Linked DNA regions of Cricetulus griseus. The protein of the gene in region 4 interacts with the protein of the main gene of each other region in a pairwise test. Links are inferred from orthologs where the notes say so. Each region holds a gene or a part of one and is shown on either strand. Other genes may lie near its edges. The genes, in order: Fam124b, Fam107a, Pnkp, Trim37, Mcm10, Prc1 and Copb1.

Evidence for each region.
Region 1: the proteins of Trim37 (region 4) and Fam124b interact in a two-hybrid assay, tested with the Homo sapiens proteins (2 studies listed by BioGRID and IntAct). The link is inferred for Cricetulus griseus from reciprocal best matches to the Homo sapiens genes TRIM37 and FAM124B.
Region 2: the proteins of Trim37 (region 4) and Fam107a interact in binary tests that used the Homo sapiens proteins (3 or more experiments, as listed by UniProt). The two-hybrid records come from large-scale screens. The link is inferred for Cricetulus griseus from reciprocal best matches to the Homo sapiens genes TRIM37 and FAM107A.
Region 3: the proteins of Trim37 (region 4) and Pnkp interact in binary tests that used the Homo sapiens proteins (3 or more experiments, as listed by UniProt). The two-hybrid records come from large-scale screens. The link is inferred for Cricetulus griseus from reciprocal best matches to the Homo sapiens genes TRIM37 and PNKP.
Region 5: the proteins of Trim37 (region 4) and Mcm10 interact in a two-hybrid assay, tested with the Homo sapiens proteins (2 studies listed by BioGRID and IntAct). The link is inferred for Cricetulus griseus from reciprocal best matches to the Homo sapiens genes TRIM37 and MCM10.
Region 6: the proteins of Trim37 (region 4) and Prc1 interact in binary tests that used the Homo sapiens proteins (3 or more experiments, as listed by UniProt). The link is inferred for Cricetulus griseus from reciprocal best matches to the Homo sapiens genes TRIM37 and PRC1.
Region 7: the proteins of Trim37 (region 4) and Copb1 interact in binary tests that used the Homo sapiens proteins (3 or more experiments, as listed by UniProt). The two-hybrid records come from large-scale screens. The link is inferred for Cricetulus griseus from reciprocal best matches to the Homo sapiens genes TRIM37 and COPB1.

What each region holds. Positions count from the first base shown.
Region 1 is NC_048595.1:432,859,175-432,863,212, forward strand, and holds the start of Fam124b (protein FAM124B), read right to left. Parts: upstream 2,801-4,038; coding exon 2,069-2,800; intron 1-2,068.
Region 2 is NW_023276807.1:166,689,486-166,692,801, reverse strand, and holds the end of Fam107a (actin-associated protein FAM107A), read left to right. Parts: intron 1-1,265; coding exon 1,266-1,422; intron 1,423-2,717; coding exon 2,718-2,816; downstream 2,817-3,316. UniProt on the Homo sapiens protein: Stress-inducible actin-binding protein that plays a role in synaptic and cognitive functions by modulating actin filamentous (F-actin) dynamics. Mediates polymerization of globular actin to F-actin. Also binds to, stabilizes and bundles F-actin.
Region 3 is NC_048599.1:153,694,222-153,698,258, forward strand, and holds the start of Pnkp (bifunctional polynucleotide phosphatase/kinase), read left to right. Parts: upstream 1-1,237; 5' UTR 1,238-1,453; coding exon 1,454-1,604; intron 1,605-2,094; coding exon 2,095-2,141; intron 2,142-2,402; coding exon 2,403-2,702; intron 2,703-3,388; coding exon 3,389-3,468; intron 3,469-3,546; coding exon 3,547-3,604; intron 3,605-3,752; coding exon 3,753-3,860; intron 3,861-4,012; coding exon 4,013-4,037. UniProt on the Homo sapiens protein: Plays a key role in the repair of DNA damage, functioning as part of both the non-homologous end-joining (NHEJ) and base excision repair (BER) pathways.
Region 4 is NC_048600.1:100,408,839-100,412,338, reverse strand, and holds part of Trim37 (E3 ubiquitin-protein ligase TRIM37), read right to left. Parts: intron 2,861-3,500; coding exon 2,681-2,860; intron 1-2,680. UniProt on the Homo sapiens protein: E3 ubiquitin-protein ligase required to prevent centriole reduplication. Probably acts by ubiquitinating positive regulators of centriole reduplication.
Region 5 is NC_048596.1:222,201,145-222,204,644, reverse strand, and holds part of Mcm10 (protein MCM10 homolog), read left to right. Parts: intron 1-1,006; coding exon 1,007-1,123; intron 1,124-1,344; coding exon 1,345-1,541; intron 1,542-3,291; coding exon 3,292-3,392; intron 3,393-3,500. UniProt on the Homo sapiens protein: Acts as a replication initiation factor that brings together the MCM2-7 helicase and the DNA polymerase alpha/primase complex in order to initiate DNA replication. Additionally, plays a role in preventing DNA damage during replication.
Region 6 is NC_048596.1:117,306,059-117,309,558, reverse strand, and holds part of Prc1 (protein regulator of cytokinesis 1), read left to right. Parts: intron 1-45; coding exon 46-178; intron 179-618; coding exon 619-741; intron 742-3,500. UniProt on the Homo sapiens protein: Key regulator of cytokinesis that cross-links antiparrallel microtubules at an average distance of 35 nM. Essential for controlling the spatiotemporal formation of the midzone and successful cytokinesis.
Region 7 is NC_048596.1:86,412,877-86,416,376, forward strand, and holds part of Copb1 (coatomer subunit beta), read left to right. Parts: intron 1-1,155; coding exon 1,156-1,385; intron 1,386-2,222; coding exon 2,223-2,392; intron 2,393-3,500. UniProt on the Homo sapiens protein: The coatomer is a cytosolic protein complex that binds to dilysine motifs and reversibly associates with Golgi non-clathrin-coated vesicles, which further mediate biosynthetic protein transport from the ER, via the Golgi up to the trans Golgi network.

The DNA.
Region 1 (4,038 bases), on a different chromosome or scaffold from region 4:
GTGTTATTACTTCACACACTGAAGTAAGGGGAGTTCTGGCCATTTCCCAAGGACAGACACTATGGGACATTTGCTTTGACTCCCATGTATCTCCTCAACATTTACAAGCACAGTGACTGCCGCCACCCTGCCCATGCCCCATGCCTCACCTTTGTGGTGCCACCATTTGTCAAACGGACTTTGAGACCTGATAGAAACACATCCTTTGGACAAATAAATGTTCCTCAGTCTTCTCATTTATAACAGGATCGGTAATGACTTCATAGATTGTTAAAAGGATTTAAAATATTAGTGATTGGAAAATCTCATATTATACAGTGTATAATATGCACAACAGCAGTTAAAATACAATGATGTGTGTTCATGAGTGTTATGTCATTTCATGAAGAGTAACATTCTTTGTGTAGGAAGATGCCAGTATCACCTTCATTGAGCTAAGGTCACAACAACTACTAAGTGCTAAAGCTTAGCTGCCACATCATACGCCGTAAGGGACAGCACGTGGCAGCCATCATGATTAGGTAAACACCTGGCTGTGTTTAGCTTCAGTAGGATGACTGAAAAGGGTGGCTCTCAGATTTTCTTTTGAAGGCATTCTGGGTGTTGAACTTGATTTGTGCTTAAATTTGACAGTGGTAGAAAATGCTGCAAGGGGAAGCTACTAGTATTGCCAACCTAACATTCCCAAACACCATTACACCTTAGGCCTGTGGAAAGAGCTCATGACGGTGTTGCTGTAGCCTTGATCAGGAACCTGGAAGGAACCTTTGCTACTTCATAAACCTTCCGGCTCTTCCAGTGGAACATTTCCTCAGTGTGCTCTTCATAACACTTTGGGCTTTCCTCCTTCTCCATGGCTCCCTCTCTGCTACATGGCTAACAGCATGCTCTCTCTCTCTCTCTCTCTCTCTCTCTCTCTCTCTCTCTCTCTCTCTTCCTTATCTCTCTCTCCCCTGGCAGATGCTGAGATTTACAGCTTGCCTGAACTGAATTTCTTCCTCTTCCTCTACATCTCCTTTTGAACTCCAAGAAATTTGTCCTTGAGTTTCCTCCTGAGTCCATCCTTAAATTCCTTTATTAATGAGACTAAAAACCATAAGGGGAGAGCTCCATTACCCTAGTAACATGCACAAATCTGACTCGACACTCCAAATTTCCCAGTAATATTATTACTGAATCTAAATGGACAAAGTGTGTATGGATGTGTGACAGACATGGAAAAGGGAATTCTGGGGAGGGAGCATCACCTGACTCTCGGGCTTTTCAGCTACAAGTTCACACAAGTCAGGTATTTCTTACCTGTCACATGAGGAACTTGTATATTTTGAAGTCTGTGACTGTCAGCTGCAGTATATATAAGAATCATACAATAAACTCTTTTATCCTTTTGTAAGAAACTCTCTGGGTCTCCCCAGACTTTCTGGTCTAGTGGGACTGTGGTGCAGCTTAGCATGAACAAGTCTTAAAACCTCCCCAGTCTCTAACTCTGCAATCAGGTTGAAGACCACTGACTAAAGCACCTCTAGAGACCACCCAGATATAGCATCACACCTTTCCATTTCCTGACAGGGATGAGGCCATTTAAAAAAAAAAAAAAAAAAAGTACTTGTGCCCCTCCCTTTGGCTATCAGACTAATGACACAATGGATCCCAAGAAATTCAAACTTCCCCAGGAATCTCATGCTGCAGGGGAGTGGGGGGGAAGCTGGGGCCCTGATGGCAGCCAGGGGGGGAGCTTGACTCCCAGAAAGATTTCAGGAGAGGTTGAAGCTAAGACAATGATGATGGATAATAATGGGACCACACCCACCCCAGGACTGCATAGTTAGGTATGCATAAGTCTTCATATCAGGGGCAGGAGCCCCTGGACCTTTTAATTTGCTCTTCTCCCAATGTATCTGCTTTGAGTAACTCTGTTTTCTTGGTCTTTTACTATTATTCATCTGTTTAATTGGCCTACTGAGGATTGATGGCCAAGTCTAGCTTGTTGGAGTTTCCAGGGCCCTGGCTCTGACCCTACCAACTCTGGTAACTCTAGTACACACCAGAAACGTAAGAAATGAAATACCTGCAGCAGAATCTTGTTGCCATCATAGTCCTGAGTCTGCCACCTGGTGCTGCTGATGGGAATACACGGATTGGGTAGAAGAGGCACCAGTTGGCCGATCTCTTGAACCTTAAATTGCAGCACAGAAGACTCTTTGGGGTCCACTGGCATTCCCAGGGGCAGCTGCTTCAGAGAGAGCTGCAGGCTGAAGCCCTCGGTGGCATAGAGAACAAAGAAACAGAAGTTGCTCTTCTGCACGGTGGCGTCTCTCTGTAGGATCATCTCATATAGCCGGATGGCATCCTCATAGTTATCAAAACTGCAGTACAGAGTCACTCTGAGGGTATCAGTGCCACAGTGCACCGGCCTCATGCCCCACACTGGCATCTGGTGGTGCAGGCTGTAGAATTCCTGATTGGCGGGAAGATAGGGACAAGGCCTCCCCTGTGCATGCTGGGTAGGGAAACCCTGCCAGGGTGAGTGCTGTAGGAAGTCCAAGACTCTAAACAGCCGCTCCTGTCCAAGGCTTTCCTGAAGAAACAGCAAAACAGACATCCCAGGGAAGCGGGCCCTCCGGGGGTGGTACTTTTCATGGTAATTCACTGGTCTGGCCCGTTCAGACACTAGGAAGAGACGCACCTCTGGGCAGATACAGTCCAGGAGCTGGTCCAGAGCCTGCTGCAGAAGCGAGCCGTTTCCAGTGTCAGCAAGAAGGTGCACAGTCAAGGCTAGAGACTCCTGTGTCTCATCCATGGCAGGCCTAGGTGAAGATGATGGTCACCCAGCACGGTCCACTGTTCAGCCTTCTAAGTTGAACCAAGGTCTCATACGGAGCCTCCTAGAAAAACTTCAGCATCTTCTGAACCAAGCTCTTAATCAGATCACACATGCTCCTGGCTTCCTCCGATGCTCCAGCAGGAAATGTGGACTTTGCTACACACAACAGCGGTAGCTCCATGTCATCTGTTCTGGGCAGATGTAACTATTTGCTTGGCATTTTCAGGCATTCCCTGGGGTTTCTGTTTGACCTAAAAACCTATAATGCTGAGAACCACGCCAGTGGGTGGTTCTTACATTCAACTCGGTAGAGGAAATGACCAGGCCGAGAGGAACAGGAGGCGGCTCTGTTGCACTGATAGCCATCTGTAGCTCTGTAACACTGAAGAGAGATCCATTTGGTGGGCCACAATGGGCTCTGACTTCCTACTTAAATATCCTGATGTTTACAGTGGCCGCCAGGCCTCCTGAATAGGACGCCTTCTTTAAAGCCACTCCCAGTCTTGTCTGCTTGCCAGAGCCTTCAGCCACCATTGCTTTTATTTCATTTTTGATCATTTTCTGCTAGGTCACAAAAAAGAGATATTTTGTCTACATAGTGTTGGCCTCATTGAAAACTATTTGTCTGGCTGGACTAATAGCCTGGATGCACTAAAATGACATTAAGAAACTAGGTTGCCTTTGGTTCGTGTAAATTTGTAGACAGTGAGCTTTCCTGTTGCAGTAATTCTGATGTCTTCCTATTGAGGATCTGTTGATAAACTATCCGAAAACTTTAGAAAAATTGACTTAATCAGCCAACAAGCCTACAAAGAAGAGAGTATTTATCCCCCATTTGCTGACGAGAAACTGAGGCATAGAAAAAAAATCAGGTAAATTGTCCAAACTAACACAGTGACGTGTCAGGGGAGAGATTTGAAAGATCGGAAGGGCCCATAGTCTCTAGAGCTGGGAAGGCCAGCCACAGTTGATTGTTTTGTTTGTTTGTTTTCTTGAGGTGAGGAAAGGCTGCCATGTCAACTTCTAGTTGACACATTTACCTGTGGATACAGGCTAATGAATCTTAAACAGAATATCACACAGTTGACATAATCACCTAATCTGTTCCCAAATCTTTAGTAGTCAGGCATAGAAACAAATACCAGTAATCCTAGGATTCAGGAGATGGCTACAGGGGGATTACTGTGAGCTCAAGGCCAGTTGGGTAGAAGCCA
Region 2 (3,316 bases), on a different chromosome or scaffold from region 4:
CCTCAGTTAGGATACAAAAAAAGGAGGCCCAGTTCCTGCCCTCCCAGAGGAGAGTGGAAGAATATCAGGCAGGACAGGGTGTGCATTGATGGAGGATTTAGAGGCATGTGGGCATAAATGAATTCATGGAAGAGATGATTCCTGAATGGCCTAAAGCAGGGACGGGAGCTGTCTTGGTGGGAGATAGGTTGTGCCAGCAGAGAGAATTAGAGAGCACACAGATGTTGCTGAGGAATCAGGCAGTGACGGTTCTCTCACAGCCATGTTCCCCTATTGGGCAAGAGGATAGCAGTGAAGCAGAAGAGCCAAGGGGGAATCTGGGGAATGGCATGTCTGCAATCAACAATCACAGCATGTCAAATATAGGACAGGGTGGTTGAGGAGCCTCTATGAGGATTCTGCTCACATGGCCCAGGCTGAAGGTGGTGGTGCGGCCTTCATGGAGTCCTCTGCTGGCCAGTTGTATTGGAGCTGGTTGTGATTTCCATTCTGAGACCAACATACAACAGATACCCCTTACACTCTGGGCTGTTTGCGGGTTTGTGCTCACTTAATATTGTAATATTATCATGTCCTAAGTAGTTTTTTTGTAGTGTTCATTCATTAAAAGTATCAAAAATATCACCACAATGAAAAAACAGCTTCAAACAAACTGAAATATTTGCAATATTAATAAATTATATTGAAAATTACATATACAATATAAATATTAACATATTCATGTACCTTAGTCTACAAGGAAAAAAAAAGAGTGAATTTGCAAAAGGGGAAATGCAAATGCTAGAAACATTTTAAAGACTATTGCATGTGACTGATAATCAAGGAAACATGAAAACTGGGCATTGTTTCTTGTCTCCTAGACTTAATAATAATAACAATAATGATAATAATAATAATAATAATAATAATAATTGTCTTGGAGAATGGGAATAAATAGTTGTCCTTGTAAGGAAATTAACTGCCAGGAGATTTCAAGAGAGCCCAGCTCAGCATTTCCACCTCCAGAAGCTCTGGTAAAATATAAAGCAACCACATGTCACCAGGTCTCTGTGGCCTGGGCTGAAATTCTGTTGTAGCTGCAACCTGCCTTGTTATTCTGGAGGCAGTGGCTCTTTGCCTCTCTCTATAGCGTTGGACAGTGAGGTCACCCCCTCCAGTGTTGCCCAAGCACTGTAAGAGAAAATGGCCATTGGGCATCCCTGTAAACTGCTGCCCAGACTGGGAAGGTGGGAAAGGGTGTCTCCTGATAGCTCCCACCTCCCCAGGGGCTTGGGTGTAGACAGCAAGCCTGAGTTGCAGCGGGTCCTGGAGCACCGACGCCGGAATCAACTGATCAAGAAGAAGGAGGAGGAGCTGGAGGCTAAGAGGCTTCAGTGCCCTTTCAAGCAGGAGTTGCTGAGAAGACAGCAGAGACTGAATCAGGTGGGTAGGAGGTAGCAGCAGCTCCATCTAAGCCTCCTCCAAGGCCCCAAGGGAAGGTCAGCACAGCACCAGGAATCTACCTCTGGCCTGCTGTGCGACACTAGCAATGACTTCACTTCTCTGACCCTGCTTTCCTGTGAGATCCATATCTGAAAGTTAGATCCCCTGTGAGAGCAGAGGCCATTTCTTTTTTAGAGGTGGGGGTCTGAGGCCAGAGGAATAAGTGATTTGAACCAGGCTTCCCAAGGAGAACCCGGTCTCTTACTCTGTTCCCGTGTGGGTACAGAGGGTATCCACTAAGATTTCCAGGTTCTTGTGTCCTGGGAGAATTGGCGAAGACATGCATAGTGGCATAGATGAAGTTCATTAAGGAAGAGGAAAGCACTTACAAATGGATGTGGGTTAGAGAGCTCGAACAGGTCCAGGGCTCAGAACCCCAGGCTGCAAGCAGCCTGACCCTTATGAGGTCATTTATACATCACCCCACCCCCTGTCCATATTCAAAGATGGTGGTGTTAGTATTCAGGCATCTGTACTGTCCTGTCCTTGGGGTTCTGACAGGGTATGTCCTCAGCTTCAGCCACTAAGAGCACCACCTGTGCACATTCACTATGTTCCCTTTTAAAAGGACCCTGCCCACTTCCCATCCTCCTCTTTCTCTAGCTGTATGTCCCTCCCTCCCTCCCTCCCTTCCTCCCTCCCTCCCTCTCCCTCTCCCTCTCCCTCTCCCTCTCCCTCTCCGTCTCCTCTCCCTCTCTCTCTCTCTCTCTCTCTCTCTCTCTCTCTCTCTCTCTCTCTCTCTCCCCCACCCCTCCCTTGCTTCCTCCCTCACTACCCCCCTCTCTTCTTTCCTCTTTCCTCTCTCCCACTGCTCCTGTCCCCAGAGGCTGGTCTCCCCCCTCCCCTTTCCCCCTTTTATGATCCCTTTCCCTAATTAAAACAAAACAAAACAAAATCTCTGCTTGAACCCTGTTGCTTGGTGTCTTCTCTCCAGAGCTGCTTTTCTTAAATTACAACAGGTGGCATTTCCTCAAGCATACTGTTTTGATGTTTCCTGAAGTGAGGGTGGGGTGTTTTTTTGTTTTGTTTTTATGTTAATCCTGATGACTCTCTCAAGCATCTACTCTCCTGATACAACCTACAGCCACCACCACTACCACTTTGGGATGGTTGGTAAAACCCACCCCAGGGTGCTTCTGCTTTCCCACTGACAAAACCTTTGGTCCAACACCATGGCTTTTGAAAATGGGAGGCCCCCCAGCCCTGCGAAATTCACAGGTGTCTCTCTCCTCCAGCTGGAAAACCCACCACAGAGAGAAGAGGCCCATGCTCCTGAGTTCATCAAAGTCCGAGAAAACCTGCGCAGAATTGCCACGGAGGAGAGAGCACTGTAAAATTCTCTACACTCAGCTCCTGCCACTCAATCTGGCCCAGACCTCCTCCAGCCCTCCTGAACCAGAAGGCCCTGACACACGGTGATGCCAGCAAGGCAGACATGAGAGGCTGGCTATCTCCGGGACCTCATCCCTTCCAACCCATACCCCGCAACCCGCAGGAAAATCTCTGTATGGACTTCTCCTTCTGAGCACCTAGCCTTCCAGTGCTAAGAGGAAGCCACTACCAGGAAAGACCTCCCCAGGTGCCTTTCCTGATCGGACCCACTAGTAAGCTTCCCTAGCAGAAGTGGAAAGGAGGGCCAGTGTCCCTACATTCTGCCTTAGCTTCCCAACAGGCCCCTGCTTTGGGAGCAGCCCAGCTCCTAGTGTTGGGAGTATCTCAGCTCAAGCTTGACCTGAGGCCAAGAATGTCTTGAACTCACAGAGCAAAGAAGAGACGCTTTGTCTGCTGCAAGGAAGGCCATGGAGGCCACAGCAGGCTGTGGCCAGGTGGGAAA
Region 3 (4,037 bases), on a different chromosome or scaffold from region 4:
TGCTGTCTCAGAGGAGTGAAGGCCAGCCCCGTGGCGCACATCTGCCATTCAAGCAACAGGGAGATGGGTTTAGTAGTCACAGGAGTTAACATCAATTCTGCCTCAAAGAACAAACCAAAGCCAGGCATAGTAGCACACACTTTTAATCCCAGCACTTGGGAGGCAGAAGCAGGCGGAAGTGTTTTGAGGTCAGCCTGGTCTGCCAAGCAAGTTCCAGGATACCAGGGCTACACAGAGAAACACCTTATCCCCCCCAAAAAAAAAAAAAAAATCAATGGCCAGCTGTGGTGGCACGTGCTTATTTTGGTTGTTTTTTGTTTTTCTAGAGATGGTTTCTCTGTGTATCTGACTGTTCAGGAACTCAACTGTAGAACAAGCTGACCCTGAACTCAGATCCTCCTGCCTCTGCCTCCCAAATACTGATATTAAAAGCAAGCGTTACTGTTGGGCGGTGGAGTCCCACGCCTTTAATAACAGCACTCAGGAGACCGGCAGATCTCTCAAGTTCGAGGCCAGCTAGGGTGTTGTGGTGGACTAACATCCAAGCCAAATAATTCGACTGTGCTGAAGATAAGTCCAGTTGGGCTTGTTGACAGCAGGTTTCGCCCATAGAAGGAGGGGGCAAGGAAGGTCATGGGACTTCACCCGCGTTCCCTGCTGTTCCTCACAAGCAGCTATGTAGCTGGGGCCTAGGCAGGGGCTAGAAAATATAGGCAAGGAAGAGGTAGGGGAAAAGACTATCTGTGCAGCGTGGGATAGGTGTGGCCTTTGCAGGTAGCACCACACACAAGTAAGTAAACCCTGTAGGCCCAGTAAATTCACTGGTTCCCCAGAATCATCTCTGATGGAATCATATTTCGGTCTACCCTTCAGACGTAGAAGGGTAGACATTGTGACACTGTTTAGGTCTTCATCCGGAAAGCACTTTTGTTTTTGGAGGTGGGGACAGGATCCCATTGTAGTACTGACTGACCTGGAGCTTGTTATGGAGACCAGGCTGGCCTCAAACTCGGAGATCCGCCTTCCTCTGCCTCCTGAGTGCGGGGATTAGACAGGTACGCCACTACACCCGGGAAGTAACTTTAACAACACGGCTACATCCTGAGACCCTATCTCACCAAAACAGAACAAAACCAAGTAACTGCAGCCTAGGGACCCAAACGCCCCCTAGCAACACGCAAGCGGGTCAGGAGCGGCGCGCGCGCTATGGGAGGAGCCAAACCTTCCGAGTCTTTCCCACAACAGTGGTGAGTCTCGGAATGAATTCCGAAGTAATCCCGACCTTAAACTATCCTCTCTAGCTACTTATGGAACTGCTGTGGTAGCCTGGGAAACGTTGAACCCGCCCATGGGCAAGGGGCGGATTTCCGGAGCGGCTCTAGTGGGAAGGCAGGACTTCCGGTAGCGGACCGTAGCTGGCTGCCCAGCGAGTTCGCCTTCGCCACATCCCGGGATGTCACAGCTGGGATCTCGGGGCCGTCTGTGGCTGCAGAGCCCCACCGAGGGACCGCCCCCTATCTTCCTGCCGTCGGACGGCCAAGCCCTGGTTCTCGGTCGGGGACCCCTGACCCAGGTGACGGACCGGAAGTGCTCCCGAAATCAAGGTGGGCGCGGGAGTGAAACTACGGCATCAAGAGCTGCAGGGAAACCTGTGCCTAACCTGGAGTTAGACAGGGCTTTCGGGGAGGGACAGAGCGGATCCGGGAGATTGTCACCGGGTGGAGGAGGATGCTCGCAGCAAAGAGACGCCTCTGGGCAGGATCTATCAGGCCATGCCCAAGACCTAGGTCTACTCAGTGTGTCTTATGGAGCAAGCCGACCCTACAGATTTAAAAAATCGTAGGTCCCGGTCCTATCGAGAGATAAACTGTTTCGGGCCGGGGGTGACACACACCTGTCATCCAGGCACTTGGCTGGTAGAAGTTTAAGGTCAGCCACCAGTGTGTGGCGACTTCTAGGCTACCCTGGGCTACTTGAGGCCCTGTGTTGGGGAAGGGAGGAAAGTGCCTTTTCCTTCGGAAGTGCAAGACGAAGTCTATAGCTGGCCACGCCCCATATGTGATGTAAACCCTGACTCCATCCCCTTACCCTCAGTGGAGCTGATTGCAGACCCTGAGACCCGGACAGTGGCAGTGAAACAGGTACCAGTGTCTCAGCAACGAGTAGCAAGGACTTGGGGTAAGGGGTCGGGGTGGGCCGCAACCCTTCAGAAGGTTAGTAGGTATTCCCTTTTCCACCGTGCCAAACTGGACTCCTTGTGACCTTTCAAAGTTCTGATTGGTAGCATGCAATGAATAGGTGGGAGATTAAGGTCTGACTGGGAGATGGGGTATTGGAATTGGTGGGGAAGCAAGTGTTCCCTGAGGAGTTGGAGCCGACCTTGGTTCCTCCTTTCTTCGCAGCTGGGTGTTAACCCATCAACTGTTGGGGTCCAGGAATTGAAGCCAGGGTTGTCAGGCTCTCTAAGCTTGGGGGATAGCCTGTATCTGGTCAATGGCCTATACCCCCTGACCCTGCGTTGGGAAGAGATTAGCACAACGGGATCCCAGCCAGATACTCCACCAGGCACTCCTCCTTCGGATCCAGTGGACAGGGAGGATGCTGAGCCTCAGAAAAAGCGGAGACGGAAATCATCCCCTGGCTGGGAGAGCTTAAAGAAGTTACTGGTGTTCACAGCATCTGGGGTAGAGTCCCGGGGCAAGGTGAGGCCACAGTCCTGCCGCTTAATACAGAGTTTGCTGTGCAGCCCTGGGCTAGTCTTATCAAAGTCTCTGAGTCTCAGCTGTTTGTTGTGAACAGAGACTGAGGTGCAGGATACAGATCAGGCCCTGTAATCAGTGATGATCAGACCTTTCTTGGATGTGTTTATGGGTTACTCTGAAATGATTAGGCCACAGAAAGTTTGGGGTCTAGTCCCTGGTTGGGCACTCAGTCAACAGAGAGTTTTGAATTTAAATTTTTATTCATTTATTTATGTGAGCCTGCTTGATTTTATGTGTACCACATGTATACAGATGCCTGCAGAGGCCAGAGAGCATTGGGTTCCCTAGAGCTGAAGTTACAGGCAGTTGTGAGCCACCTGATGTGTGTGCTCTGAGCCACTGAGTCTTCTTTTCAGCTCTTCCAACAAAGACGGTTGCTCTTTCTGAGCTGATAATCTTCCAAGAGATGCTCAGGGAAAAGGGGAGGGTGGGACACAGGTCTCCATTAAAGACTGGAAAGTGGGGAGCAGAGGACACAGGAGCAGTGAGGTACTGCTCTCCTGCCTCACTCATGCACACCCTGCAATAGGAGTGTCAAAGGGCCGGTGTCAACTGTGGGGAGAGTCCCTGTTGACACAGGGGAGTACCAAACACAGTACTGCTGTCCCTGTGTTTGGTGATACCAGGTGGCTGCCTTTGACCTAGATGGGACTCTCATCACCACTCGTTCTGGAAAGGTCTTCCCCACTAGCCCTAGTGACTGGAGGTGAGGTGGTGCCTGGCAAGAGGGTGGGAGCTCAGGTCCTCTAGGTTATAAGTCATTGCTGCTTCCCACCGACCTTAGGATTCTGTACCCAGGGATTCCAAAGAAGCTCCAAGAGCTGGATGCTGAGGGGTACAAGGTATGTGTGTGTGTGTATTCTCTAGACTCCAAGAACTACAAGGTGCGGGGCCTATGTGCATGTGTGTGCATGAACACATGCATGTTTGTGTAGAGTTCAGGCTGAGCTGTGGTGTGGTGAGCGCCAGTGTGTCCTTGTCTATCCCCAGCTGGTAATCTTCACCAACCAAATGGGCATTGGGCGAGGGAAGCTGCCGGCAGAGGTGTTCAAGGCCAAGGTGGAGGCTGTGTTGGAGAAGCTGGGGGTCCCATTTCAGGTACAGCCAGGGACACTGAGGGGCTGTGTGGGACAGGGACCCAAAGAGAACATGCCAAGGTGTGGAATGGAGGCCTTGGCTGGGGTTGTGCTGACAGAAATGACCTTGGAAGTCCTAAGCACAAGGACAGTGTAACTTGGCCACCTCAATAGGTGCTGGTGGCAACTCATGCAGGTC
Region 4 (3,500 bases):
AAAAGCCCAAGTGTAGAAGGGTGTTCCCTTTTGTGTTTTATTAAAAGGTATCCATGTCATTGGGGGCATGCCTTTGAAGAGCACACTAGACACTATACTCTTCCAAGTCTAGGCTATGAGGTGACTGGTTTGCCTCATGAAACACTTCTATCATATTGTGGTGCTTTACCACAACCACATACATCAAGCAATGGGTTGTTGTACCATGAACTGTAACCTCCAAAATTAGGAACCAGATTCTTTACAAATTGACTATCTCAGGCAATTGTTACAGGAACAGAAAACAAGTAATAAAGCAACTTGAAGGAAGATGGGACAAGTTACAGTCCACCATTGCTGGAAAGTCAAGGCAGAAATTAGACCAAGTAATCATATCCAAATTCAAAAGCAGACAGAATGGATGCACGCACCCATGTATACCTGCACTCAGTTCACTGTCTCATTTATACAGCCCAGGACTCAAACCCAGAGAATGGTATTACCCTGAATTGGCAGGCCTTCCCATCTCAACAAACATAATCAAGATAGTCCCCCACAAGACATACCCATAGGCTCCCCTAATACACAAGCTCTAGCTGGTGAGACTGCCTTCCTAGTCGATTCTACAATAAAAACTAACCACCAAATACAAACAATTTATTTATTTTTATCTATGATTTTATACTGTTGTGGAATGATCTTTTTGCTCACTATGAAGATGTGTTGCTCTCATTGGTTTAATAAAAAAACTAAATGGCCAACAGATGGGCAGGAAGAGGTTAGGCAGAACTTGTGGACCAGAAGAGAGTGCTGGGATGAAGAAGGGCAGAGTTGCCCAGAGACTCAGGAGAAGCAAGATGAGCATGCCATAGTGAGAAAAGGCACTGAGCCACATGATAGAATGTAGGTAAGAAATATAGGTTAATTTAAGTTGTAACAGCTAGTTAGTAACAAGCCTAAGCTATTGGCTGAGCATTTATAATTAAAGTCTCTGTGTGGTTATTTGGGAGATGGCTAGCAGGACAGAAAATTCCGCCAACATTATACCTGAAGTAAGAAAATAGTATTAATAGTTAACTGCACCAGCTTCTAATTCTAGTCAATGATGTTCATGTATGAGAAGGCAGAACTGAACACTAAATCACTATTCTAAGTGCATACTGCCTAGTTAGTATTCATAGGAAAACATTAGAAAAGCTTTGGAAATATTTTCTTTGACTGATGCATAAACTTCTGGTCATTCCTGAAAATTAGATTTTACTATTGGTGCCATTAAGATAAAAATAGGAAAAAATTTCTATTTCCCTTTTAATGAACAAATAAATATATAAACATATCTACCTTGATTATATATTTATTTAGAGTTACAGAAAAGCCAGGTGTGGTAGCACACACCTTTAATCTCAGAACTTGAGAAGCAGAGACAGATGCATATATGAATTCAAGGCCAGCCTGGTCTACATAGGAAGTTCCAGGACTGCCAAGGATATCTAAGAGAGACTCTGTCTCAAAAAACAAAACAAAAAACAGAGGTACAGAAAACCCTTAACTTTCTAACAAGTATGTAAAATTTGTATCAAAATCTTAAACAAAATTAGCAAAAAAAAAAAAAAAAGTAGAAAAGGACTAATTGGGAAGAGGAAGAGAATTAGCAGGGAGTAGGAGGGTTCAAAAAAAGGTAGGGGGTAAATATGATCAAAACTGTCGTACATAAAACACACGTATAAAAATGTCATTAAAAAATAAGACTATTTCTTCATTAGAAAAAAATGGCAGTTTTCTTCCTTTTCCTTTCTTCCTCTCTCCCTCCCTCTGCCCTCCCTCCCTCCTTTCTTTTTTTCTTTCTCTGAGACAGTATCTTACATAGTCTTGGCAAATCTTGAATTTCCTAGGTAGACAAGTATGAACTTAAACTCCAGATCTTCTACTTCTGCCACCTAAGTGTTGGGATTACGGTATGTACCATCACATCTGGCCATTTTCACTGTTGTTCCCCTACTTTCTAACATGATTTTATCAGAAACTGAAAGGTGCTTTGTAAAGTTAAGCTTGTAAAATCATGCACTGAAGTATTATACTGTCAAACAGGGAAAAAAGAAAATATAAACCACTTAATGCCCACACTTTTTTCAGATAAACTCGGTATTCAGATTTAAGTTATGAGTTCTATGCAGAGGCTGAAGGCAATTTAATGAGTGTACTTGCTAGCCCAACACCACTCTGTGATTCTTCACATGAAGTCAACTATGGAACTATCTACCTGTAACATATTACCACCATAAAATTTCAGGTTTGGAGGCATTTTGGATTTTTAGTTAGCTATGTTCAAACTATAAATCACACTTAAAAGAAAAAAAAAATTTTTGAGACTAGGTCTCTTGTAAGCCAGATTGGCTACAGACCTGTCATGTCGCCTAGACTGGTCTTGACCTCATGCTCTTTCTGGCTTTACATCTCAGATAGTAGAATTACAGGAATGGGTCATCAATATTTTCCTTTTTAATGGAATCAATAACTAGGTATCAAACCATTTTTTTACTTTTATTATACATCTAACAACATGAAACTCCTGAAATCAAAGTTACACTAGTGTGAATTTCAATATTTATGTTTGTTAAATGAATAAACTTTGAAACAGAGTTCTGATGACATTATTGCCCCCCCCCCCAATTTAAGTCCAATATCAAATACCTCAAATTACCTTAAAATCACTGTATCATTTTGTCTGTTCAAGTACCCTTCATTTGCAAGTAAGTCCAAACGGAAAAATCTGTTATAGCCCCAGCACTCGCCAACTTCAAAGTCAGATGCAAATTCTCGAATGATATTTTTGGTAGGATCGTTGCAAGTCTGGTGAACCATTTCTACACGATATTCATACCTAAAATACAGACACCATTAGTATAGTCAGCAAAGTAAAGATAACTAATTACACAAAAATAAAATTGTTATTCCAGCCAAACTCCTTTCAGAAAAGATATTATTTACAGAAACAGAAGTATTTCAGATGGGCCAACTGCCTTAGTTTGAGTTACTATTGCTGTGATTAAAAACTACAACAAAAGCAATTTGGGGAGGAAAGGGAGTACTTGGAAGATGAAGGCAGAAATATCGTGAGCTCAAGGACATCCCTGGCTATATCAAGTTTAACACCAGCCTGGCTATAACTCCCTCATTTAAAAACAATAACAAAAAAGACGGGAAAAGTGGAGTAGAGGAGGACTTTCTTCCCTAAAACAGAAGTTACTCTGTGTCATAGTTAGGGTTACTATTGTTATAATGAAACACCATGACCAAAAACAAGTTGGGGAGGAAAAGGTTTATATGGCTTGCACTTCCACACCACAGTCTATCACTGAAGGAAGTCAGGACAGGAACTAAGCAGGATTGGAACTTGGAGGGAAAAGATGATACAGAGGCCATAGGGAGTTACATACTGGCTTGCTGCTACTCATGGCTTGCTCAGCCTGCTTTCTTATAGAACTACCTGCCCAGGGATGGCACCACCCATAAGGACTGGA
Region 5 (3,500 bases), on a different chromosome or scaffold from region 4:
CACATCTCCTAATCCTTCTCAAAATAGCTCAACCAACTTTGTACCTAACGTTCAGATATATGAATCCATGGGGGCAATTTTTACTCTAACTACCACAATGAGTTTTGCCTTATACTGAATATCTCTGGAGCAGAATACTGTGTCTCCCCACACTGGAAGGGGAATAGTATTCATTGGTTACTGATCCTGGGTAGGGGGCTCTGAACAGCTTGGTGTTTTCTGCTAGAATTCCCTGATCTGGCGGGAAGTTTTACACAAACTCTGCTACCAGAGTGTGAATCCAGTTAGGCAAAGCAATTGTAGATAGGGTCCAAGAATCAATAAAAGCCTGTACTTCTTGGGGGCTCGTCCCTCTAAGTCTCAGGAGAACTGTCCAGGGTAGATGGAGTATTACCTGTGGCCAAGTTTGCTCCTGACTAGCTGGGGGATTCAGAAGCTTTCTGATATGGATTTTGTTACCTAGTAACTACTGAACCTTCTGATCTCAAAGAAACAAGGACAGTTAAGGACATTCCTTCTTATCTCAGCCTGTATTCTTGATAGGTCTGCCTGAGAATTGGCAGTAGAGAATGGGAAAGCTGAGTCAGCCAAGATCACGCAGAGACTGCCCTTCTGGCCTCTTTCCACCATTGGTGGCAAGATGAAGGAGAGTGAGCCAGCCTGTGTCTCTTTTTAGTGGGAAATCAAGTTTCCCTATCAATTCTTGTTTCATTCTAATTTGCCAGGCCTTGGTCATATGACCATTGTTGGCTTTAAGGAATGCTGGGAAAACAGAAGGCTACATCCATTGTCTGAGGCTGAGCACTTGGCCAGCCTGGACAGTCAGGATTCCAGCAACTAAGGGAAGGGAAAAGTGGTTAGAGAGACGGGAGCTGAATGAGTCTTCCCCATTCTACAACTGCATAGAGCTTTGGCTTCAAAAATGTCTCCCAGAATCAGCTGCAGACACCCCTTCACCCATCTTATAATAAAGGCCTTTAGCACTTGCGTAATCTCTCTCACACAGGTGTGCTTATCTATTGATCATCCTCAAAAAGTCTTAATTATGGGAGAAGCTATGGACCTGGGAACCTGTAAAGCCAAGAAGAAGAATGGAGAGCCATGTACACAGATTGTTAATTTGGTGAGTCTCAAATCTGTTAGTCTGGTTTTTGCCTATGAAAAGAATCAATCATGACGGATAGACTTTGGGTGCTGGAGTGGTGATGAGCAAACGGAAGCTCTGAAATTCACAAGGTCTCATCTTGCACATAGTGTTGTGAGGCTGGGAGAAATGGGCTCACTGCTTCCCGTCACTGCCCCCAGCCTGCTGACTGAGTCCTCACCGGGTGTTTGTCCTTGCAGCATGATTGTGAGTACTGCCAGTATCACATCCAGGCCCAGTACAAGAAGCTTAGCGCAAAGCGATCAGATCTGCAGTCCACTTTCTCTGGGGGGCGGATTCCAAAGAAGTTCCGCAAAGGCACCAGCCTGAAAGAGCGACTGTGCCAAGATGGTTTCTACTACGGCGGGGTTTCTTCTGAATCCTTTGCAGCGTCCATGTAAGGCATTTCTCGGGGCTGCTTTTGGGAAAGGGTTTTGCTTGTCTCTTAAGAAGAAGCTGGTGGTTGAACTGTTCTGTAACTGTTGTACATGAGCTTCATTTTTCATAGCTGAAGCCAGAGTAGTTAAGGAGGCCTTTCATTCGCAGGGAGAGAGGCATACGTTCAGAATGAATGGGAAGTGATTCATGTTGTGATCTGAATATAGAGCCCATACTTTATGTTTAGCCAGATGTGGTGGCCCACACGTGCAAGCTCTGCAGAGACTGAGGCAGAAAGAGCATGAATCCATGGCCAGCCTAAGCTATATAGGGAGAACCTGTCCCAAGTGGAGAAAACAGTCTGGAGAGATGGCTTGACCATTAAGAGTGCATGCTGTTTGGTAGAGGGCCTGAATTTGCTTCCCTGTACCCAGGTCAGGTGGCTTGCAACCGCTGTAACTTCAGCTTCCGGAAATCTCATGCTCTTTTCTTGAGCTCTCTGGGTACTGCACTCACTGTGCACAAACCTGCACTCAGACACATGCATATACACATAAAAAAAAAAAAGTTAAAATAAAACTATTTTTAAAAGTGAAAAAACAATCGCCAGGTGGTGGTGGTGGTGGTGGTGGTGGTGGTGGTGCGCACCTTTAATCCCAGCACTCGGGAGGCAGAGGAAGGCGGATCTCTGAGTTCGGGGCCAGCCTGGTCTCCAGAGCAAGTGCCAGGATAGGCTCCAAAGCTACCCAGAGAAACACCCCCACCCCCCCACCCCGTCTCAAAAAACCAGAAAAAAAAAAAAAGAGGTGGAGGCAGTAAGATCAGGACTCTGTGCCCAGCTGTGGCAAAATTTCAGGCCAGCTTAGGGCATATGAATTCCTGTAGCAAAACAAAAAGGTGCATTAACATCCATTGAGTTGTTACCTTTATTGTTATTTGTTGTTACTATTATGTGTGATGAAGCTCACACAGAGGTGGGACAGATGTTCATGGCCCTCTACTGGGATCCTAGACTGTCTAAGGAACCCCAAAGCAGATAGATGATGTATGGCCTTGTCATCTTACCATAATGTCATCTGAGCATGTGTCAGATGAGAACATGTACAAAGGAATTGTGGTTGATCTAAAAACAAACAAACAAAAAATTGTTTCTCATTTTACTGAATTAGGCAAAGACTTTTGCACTTTCTGTATATTTAGTAGTATCTCTTTAATCATCACTTTTAGTAGCTATAGAGTATCTTTTATATGGTTATTTTAAATATTCCCTGTTGATGAGTACTAATGGCATCTCTAACGATGTTGTAGTTTTTTTGAGACAGGATTTCATGTAGTTCAGGCTGGCTTGAACCCAACATACAGTCAAGCCTGCCCTTGAATTCCTGAACCTTCTGCCTCCATCTCCCTAGTGCTGGGATTTGTACATGCCACCCTGCCCAGTTTCTAATAATTACAAAATACTAAACTTTAGCAGCCATTAAATATTTTAAGACAAATTCTTAGGCTTTTGTATCACAGTACTGACATTTTTTGAAGTTTCTGGCCCTTTGGCAAGGCCTCAAGCAAATCTGTAGGTTGCCTGTTCTCCATCTGTGCTTTGGTATACAAACCAGAACTACTGGGTTACTGAGTTACGGCTAGCAAAGCCTGCTTGTATGAGACTTGAGGAATTTGGCCAATTGGTAACAAATGCATATGAATCCTCATGGTTTGTTTGTGAAAACATTGAAGTTCAGTAACTTTCTGATCTGGTGCCTCTGTCATTTCAGGGCAGCAGCTATTGCTCCTAAGAAGAAGGTTCAAACCACTTTGACCAATCTGGTTGTGAAGGGCACAAACTCAATCATCCAGGAAACAAAACAAAAACTCGGTAACTTTTTCTGCACCCATCCTCTGTCTCCAGTGGATGCAGTATTTAGGATTGGGAATGGTTAGGCTTGCTTCTACTCTCCAGTGATGAATGGCTACTCATCGCCTG
Region 6 (3,500 bases), on a different chromosome or scaffold from region 4:
TGATGCTAGCTATTATAAGTAAAATGGTTTTATATTGATTTTCAGTGAAGTGCTAGCAGAGGAGTCCATCGTATGCCTCCAGAAAGCTCTGATTCACCTTCGGGAAATATGGGAATTAATTGGGATTCCAGAGGAACAGAGATTACAAAGAACCGAGGTTGTGAAGAAGCATATCAAGGTGAGTTGAGTGGTACTGGTCTTTCTGCAGTGAGACCAGGAGGTAGGGATGTTGCTGCCTTGTTGAGACATCAGACAGAGTGATATTTGGGGACTTGGATAGGTGACTTAGTAGGTAAAGACATCTGCAACTCCATGATATAAGCCTAAGACCTGAGCTCCATCCATATAAGGTATACAGGGAGAATTGAGTCCATAAAGTTGTCTTCTCTCCTTACACTTACTCTATGGCATTTGCATTCCTCACACATAATAATAGATAATAAAAATAATAACATTTGGTCGTTCAGACAAGGATATCACAGACTCTTCCTGGTTTTATTTAAAGCTTCTTCTGCAAAATTTGAAATTATGTGAGTTTTGAGATGCTAATTGGTTTTGTTGTGTTTTGTTTTATTCTCAGTGGCGCCAAACCTTTACCAACTGTTTTCTCTCACACAGGATCTTCTGGATAGGATGATTGCTGAAGAGGAGAGCCTGAGGGAACGGCTTCTCAAAAGCATATCCTTCTGTCAGAAGGAGCTGAGTACCCTGTGCAATGAGTTACAAGTGAAGCCATTTCAGGTGTGGCAATACAGAGTGTTTGGGGGGTGGGTTGGGGTCTGAGACAGATGACTATGTTTTAACTTAGCAATGTAAATGGAAAGCGTTCTTGGAGGGGAGATAGACTCGAGAAATGTGAAAGATAGTTACCCTATTGACATGAAATAGCTAATAGGTTATCAAACACTTCTTGCTGTATTTCAGTTTTATAGAGCATAATAATGTTTTAATTTTGAGGGGAAAAGTGGCATGAATCTTTGTTTGAAAGAGGCGGGTAGGGGGACATTGAAGAAATGGGTTAATTGGTAAAGTCCTTCCCTCATAGGCATGAGAACCTGAATTCAAGCCTCATAAACCTTGCAAAAAAGCCAGATTGCCAGGCCATAATGGCTCACGCCTTTAATCCCAGCTCTTGGGAGGCAGAGGCAAGCGGATCTCTGAAAATTCAAGGTCAGCCTGGCCTACAGAGTGAGTTCCAGGACAGCCAGGGCATCACAGAGAAACTTTGTCTCAAGGGGAAAAAAATAATGGTGGCATATGCTTGTAACTTCAGCACTGGGGGGCAGGGGCAGAGATAGGTGGATCTCTGAGGCTTAAGCTTCAAACCAATGAGAGACCTTGTCTCAAAAACACAAACTTAAAACAAGATAGCAGCTGGACAAAGACTCAGCAGTTGAGAACATGTGGTGCTCTTGCATAGGAGCTGGTTTCAGTTCCCAGCACATGTGGTGGCTTACAACTGTCCTGAACTCCAACTCCAGGGGGTCCAGCACCCTCTAGTGACTTCAGTCTAGAGTACCAGGTTCACATGCAGTACACTTAAATACATGCAGGAGAGAAGCTTATACCCTTATTAGTAATTCTTTAGAACAAAAAACAAGCTGTACAGTATTACCCAAAAGTTGATCTCCGTCTTCCATCCATTTGTTCACATATATGTATGTGCTGCTATCCACCCCACAGAATAAAGTGGGTACATAGGAGGCAAGGATACCTAGTGATACAAAGGAGGAGTACCAAACAAAATTCAACCTTTGTGGTTCTTTTAATAATCAAAAACTGCATACCACTGAACCATCCAGAATGGTTCTGAAAAGTTGGGACACATAGGAAGCTTTGAAAAGGAATGATGACGGTTCTCATGTTCCATTTACTGTTAAAGGAAAAACTTACCACCTTTGAAGGGTAAGGAAAATTGATCCCTGGCAGTCAAGAGCATTCAAGCAGACCATGACGTTAGAGCAGTTTCCGGAGATTAACATAAATGACGTGGATTTGCTACATAAAATTTCTCTTTTTTTCTTAAACTCTCAATGTGAAATTAGGTATATGAGAAGTTGGGACTACACTGGTACATCTGTCTTCCTTGAATATATGGCAAGTTTTTAACAATGCTAAATGAAACTATATTATTTGTAGAACATATAATTACCAACCACTCTATTCCCTTCTTAATCTACTAGGAATAGAGCAGGATCTACTAAATTGATTGGTTTTTTTGTTTGTTTGTTTTTTGAGACAGGGTTTCTCTGTATTGTTTTGGAGGCTGTTCTGGAACTAGCTCTTATAGACCTGGCTGGCCTCGAACTCACAGAGATCCGCCTGCCTCTGCCTCCCAAGTGTTGGGATTAAAGGCGTGTGCCACCAACGCCCGGCCTAAATTGATTGTTATTGGTAAAGAGATGTTCATAGGACTTTTAGTGTAAGTATTCTATTAATAAGAACTAGATATATCATCTTCTAGCTAACCAAAGTAAGCTTTCTGATCCACGTATTGCAAAAGTATTCTGGTGTTTAAAACAGTCAGACTCAACAAAATAGATTGGATTGGTGGGAGCATAAAATGAGGACCTTTTGCCAAAAATGATTTCAGTTTTGCAAGATGAGATGAGTTCTGGAGTTAGCTAGGTGACATGATGATTACACAGCTATTTTTACAATTGCTTCTTAACTTAGACTTACATCCTAATAAAGCCATCATAAATTTTAGAAAATTGTACAATTGATCCAATTCAGTTACTGGAAATTGTAGCTTACACTTGGTTATTATACATACACACAAAACACTGCCTAGAGTTGGGCACCATCATACACAAATGTCCAACCTGTAAATTGATATAAAACTAATCTAACCACTGTGGATGCAGTTCAGTGGTAGAAGTTTGACTAACATGATGTCCTAGTTTGTTTTGGCTTTTTGTTTTGTTTTGTTTTTCGAGACAGGGTTTCTCTGTAGTTTTGGAGCCTATCCTGGCACTCGTTGTGTAGACCAGGCTGGCCTTGAATTCACAGAGATCCTCCTGCCTCTGCCTCCTAAGTGCTGGGATTAAAGGCGTGCGCCACCAACGCCCAGCAATGTCCTAGTTTTAACCTCTGATATTGGTGAGTAAGAAGAGATCAGGCCAATAAGATGATATCAGTGGATAAAGCATTTATCATGTAAAAGCCTGCTGACCTGAGTTCAATCTCCAGAACCCACCTAAGAATGAGTGGAAAGAATCAACTTCATAAAGCTGTCTTGTGACTGTCATATTCATGTCATGGCAAAGTGCATGTTCCCCTACTATACACAAACAACAGTAATAAAGTTAAATTTATAAAAGTAGATTTAAAAAAAGTTATAAAGTTCTTAAAACATGAGATCTTTATTGTTAGTGGTATGATTTTTTTTTTTTTTTAATTTATTGTGGGTGTGTGGTTGTGCACATGCCATTGGCATGTAGAGGTCAGGGGACAACTTCCTTGAGTTGGTTTTATTCTTCTACCATGTGGGTTCTGGG
Region 7 (3,500 bases), on a different chromosome or scaffold from region 4:
TCAAACCCAGCTCCTCTGGAAGAGCAGCCAGTGCTCCTAACTGCTAAGCCATTTGTCCAGCTCTGATTTTATGATAGAAACAATTATGGTAGCATTGTACTTATTCTGTACTTCTATCTGCCTTTGAATTTTAGACCCAGAAGATTTTTTTTTTTGGCTTTCCTCCCTCATTTCTTTTTTTTTCTCTTTATTATTATTATTATTATTATTATTACTATTACTATTATTATTATTATTATTAATTCAAGTTAGGGAACAGGCTTGTTTCACATGTAATTCCCCTCTCCCTCTCCCTCCCCTCACCCCCATTCCTTCTCCCCCAGACCCAGAAGATTTTTAATACCATTAATTTCCCAGTATTCATAATACTTAAAATTATAGATTTCTTTTCATAAAATATCAAAAAAAATTTGTTCTGTTTGTTTTCTTGAGACAGGGTTTTTCTGTGTAGTCCTGTCTTATAACTCTTTGTAGACCAGGCTGGCATCGAACTCAGAGATCCGCCTGCCTCTGCCTCCCAAGTGCTGGGATTAAAGGCATGTGCCACCACCACCTAGTTCCATAAAATATTTTATAGTGAATAATTTTTATCCTTGGTTAAACTTCCTTTTTATTATAAATAATATATCCTAAATTCTAATCGGTGGCTACTGATTCAACATTTTAGTTTTTATTCAGTTGTTCAGATGGACAAGAAAAGAAAGTGTCTAAAGTTACATGAATATTGAGGACCCTTTTAAAAATTTTAATAAAGGTCACTCTGTTCATGCTACCCTTTTTAAAAAATGGCTATAACTGAGAAAATGCACATAAAATGTGTTATTTTGAGTTTAAAGGATTTACTTTGGTTTTTTTGTTTTTTGGTATTGGTGGGGGACACATCTGTTAAAGTCATGTGGTTTAGCAATATAGGTTCAGGAACCACATTAACTAAATTGGTCAGGGACCAGAAGACTAATCTAGTACCCTCAAATCCTGTGTAAGGCATCTGAGATTCAGAGACAAAATATTCAAACATTTCATTTGGATTTGTAACCTTATTACCAAAGCTGATAGTAAATTTAGTTTGTTTTGCTCATAGCCTTTTTAAACTATCCGAGGAACTTGGTTTTGAAATAATTATGCTTTTTTTGTTTTTTTAAATGATTGAATCAGAGAAAGGTGATGTGAAGTCCAAGACTGAAGCTTTGAAGAAAGTAATCATTATGATTCTGAATGGTGAGAAGCTCCCTGGACTCCTGATGACTATCATCCGTTTTGTGCTGCCACTCCAGGATCACACCATCAAAAAGTTGCTTCTTGTGTTCTGGGAAATTGTTCCTAAAACAACTCCAGATGGAAGACTTTTACATGAGATGATTCTTGTGTGTGATGCGTATAGAAAAGTAAGCCAAATCATAACTGTGCTTTGTTATTTTTGTAGTTATAAAATTGCTCTAATAGATACTTTTTTAGCTTTCAAAAATGAGATCTTTGATGTGATGAGAAATTGTAAATATTTATTATTGAAGTGTGTTCAGCCTATGGCAATAGGTTTAGGCTGCATGAGGTGGGGATAGCTGTGAATGCTGCTCAACATAAAAACCTAACATGCTATTTGATTCTTTTTGGTGGATTTAGGGCTGGGGGTTTTATTTGGTTTTATTTTTCTTGGTTTTTATTTTTCTCAATAGTTAACATAACTATTGAGTTAGTCTCAGTATGAACTTTTAGATGACAGTTTTATTGTAATGTTAAAAGATTGGATACACCTGTAAAATTTATGATAAACATTTTGTATTGTTGCCTTTTCCTATATTTTCTGTGTTATTAAAAAAAATGGTGAAATACATAAAAATGACTTTAGAGGAATCAGAAGAAAACCAGTAATCTAGATCTTTTCCCTAAAAGTAACTTTAATTTTTTCAAATTAGAAAGTATTATGTTTAAATCTTGATTTTTATAAAAGGCTGACTCTTAGGCTTATGAGATGGCTCATCAAGTAAAGTACTTGCTGCCAAGCCTGATAACCCAAGTGTGGTCCCCAGGACCCACAAGGTGCAAGGAGAGAATGTATTCTTGCAAGTTGTCCTTTGACCTCTGCAGAGTTTTCAAATACACACACACACACACACACACACACACACACACACACACACACACACACACACACAAATAAATAATTAAATGTAAGGGTTTTTAAAGCTGAAACTCAATGTTTCCTACTGTAATTTTTATATCAGGATCTTCAGCATCCTAATGAGTTTATTCGAGGATCAACTCTTCGTTTCCTTTGCAAATTGAAGGAAGCAGAATTGTTAGAACCTTTAATGCCCGCTATCCGTGCTTGTTTAGAACATCGTCACAGCTATGTTAGGAGAAACGCTGTTCTAGCAATCTACACTATCTACAGGTAAGGAAAGATATTCCTTTGCTTTATTTCTATTTTAAATGCTTTAGACTAGAGGTTCCAGCGTGGTTGGTTGCAGAATGTATGTACTTGTAAATGATGCATGGTTAGGGTGTTCCCTACAGTGACCATCATTCCTAATTGTGTTGTTGCAGTTCATTTAGTTCATATATCTTTACTTGCTAAAGGCATTGCATTTTTTTACCTTGTTTTAAAATTCTAATTTTGAACAGTATGGGTCTTGTATTAGAAGCTTTGAGGAAGGAACTCTTTTAATGAAAAAGGCTGCAGTTCTTAACTAATTCTTGTTATTATAACAGTTGAAAATTTAGTCTGGACGAGTGGTGCAGGGAGCCTGAGTCAGGAGGATGAGAGTCTGAGGCCAGTCTGGGCAACTTAATGAGTCTCTACAAATAGAAAAGGTTGGGGACATGCCTCAGTGAGTGAGTGTTTATTTAGCAGGAACAAGGCCTTGAAACAGTCATTAGAGTAAAATAATAAAGCTGGAGATTTTGAACTTTAAAACAATTGTAAGATTCAGAGGAGGCTAAAGTGCTAAATTGTTATAGTCATGGCTCTCAGTCCGTGTAAGTTATGGGGCTGGTGGTAGAGCTCAGAAGCAGAGTCCTTGCCTAGAATGAGTGAGGGTGGTCCTGGGTTGGATTCCTAGTACTGCCAGTTTAACATACAGTATATATCATATATTTTGTGTCTGTGCATGTGTGTGCACCTGCATGTTTGTATAAGCATCTATGTATGTTCAGGCTAGAGAACTACATTAGGTACTGTTTCTCAGGCACCATCAACCTTTAACTTTGACACAAGGTCTCTCAGTGGCTAAGAACTCACCACATAGTCTAGGCTGGCTCACCAGAGAGCCGCAGATATCTTTTTGTTAGTCATGTTCTCAGAGTACACATCATCAAGCCTGACTTTTTTTCCTCCCTCGCTCCCTTCCTCCCTTTGTGTGTTAACACCTTGGCTATCCTGGAACTCCCTTTGTGGACCTAGCTGGCTTCAAACTCACAGAACTCTGCCTTCCTTTGCCTCATAGAGTGCTGAGATTAAAGGCATTTGCCATCACGCCCAGCTTAGGGTTTTATTTGTTTGT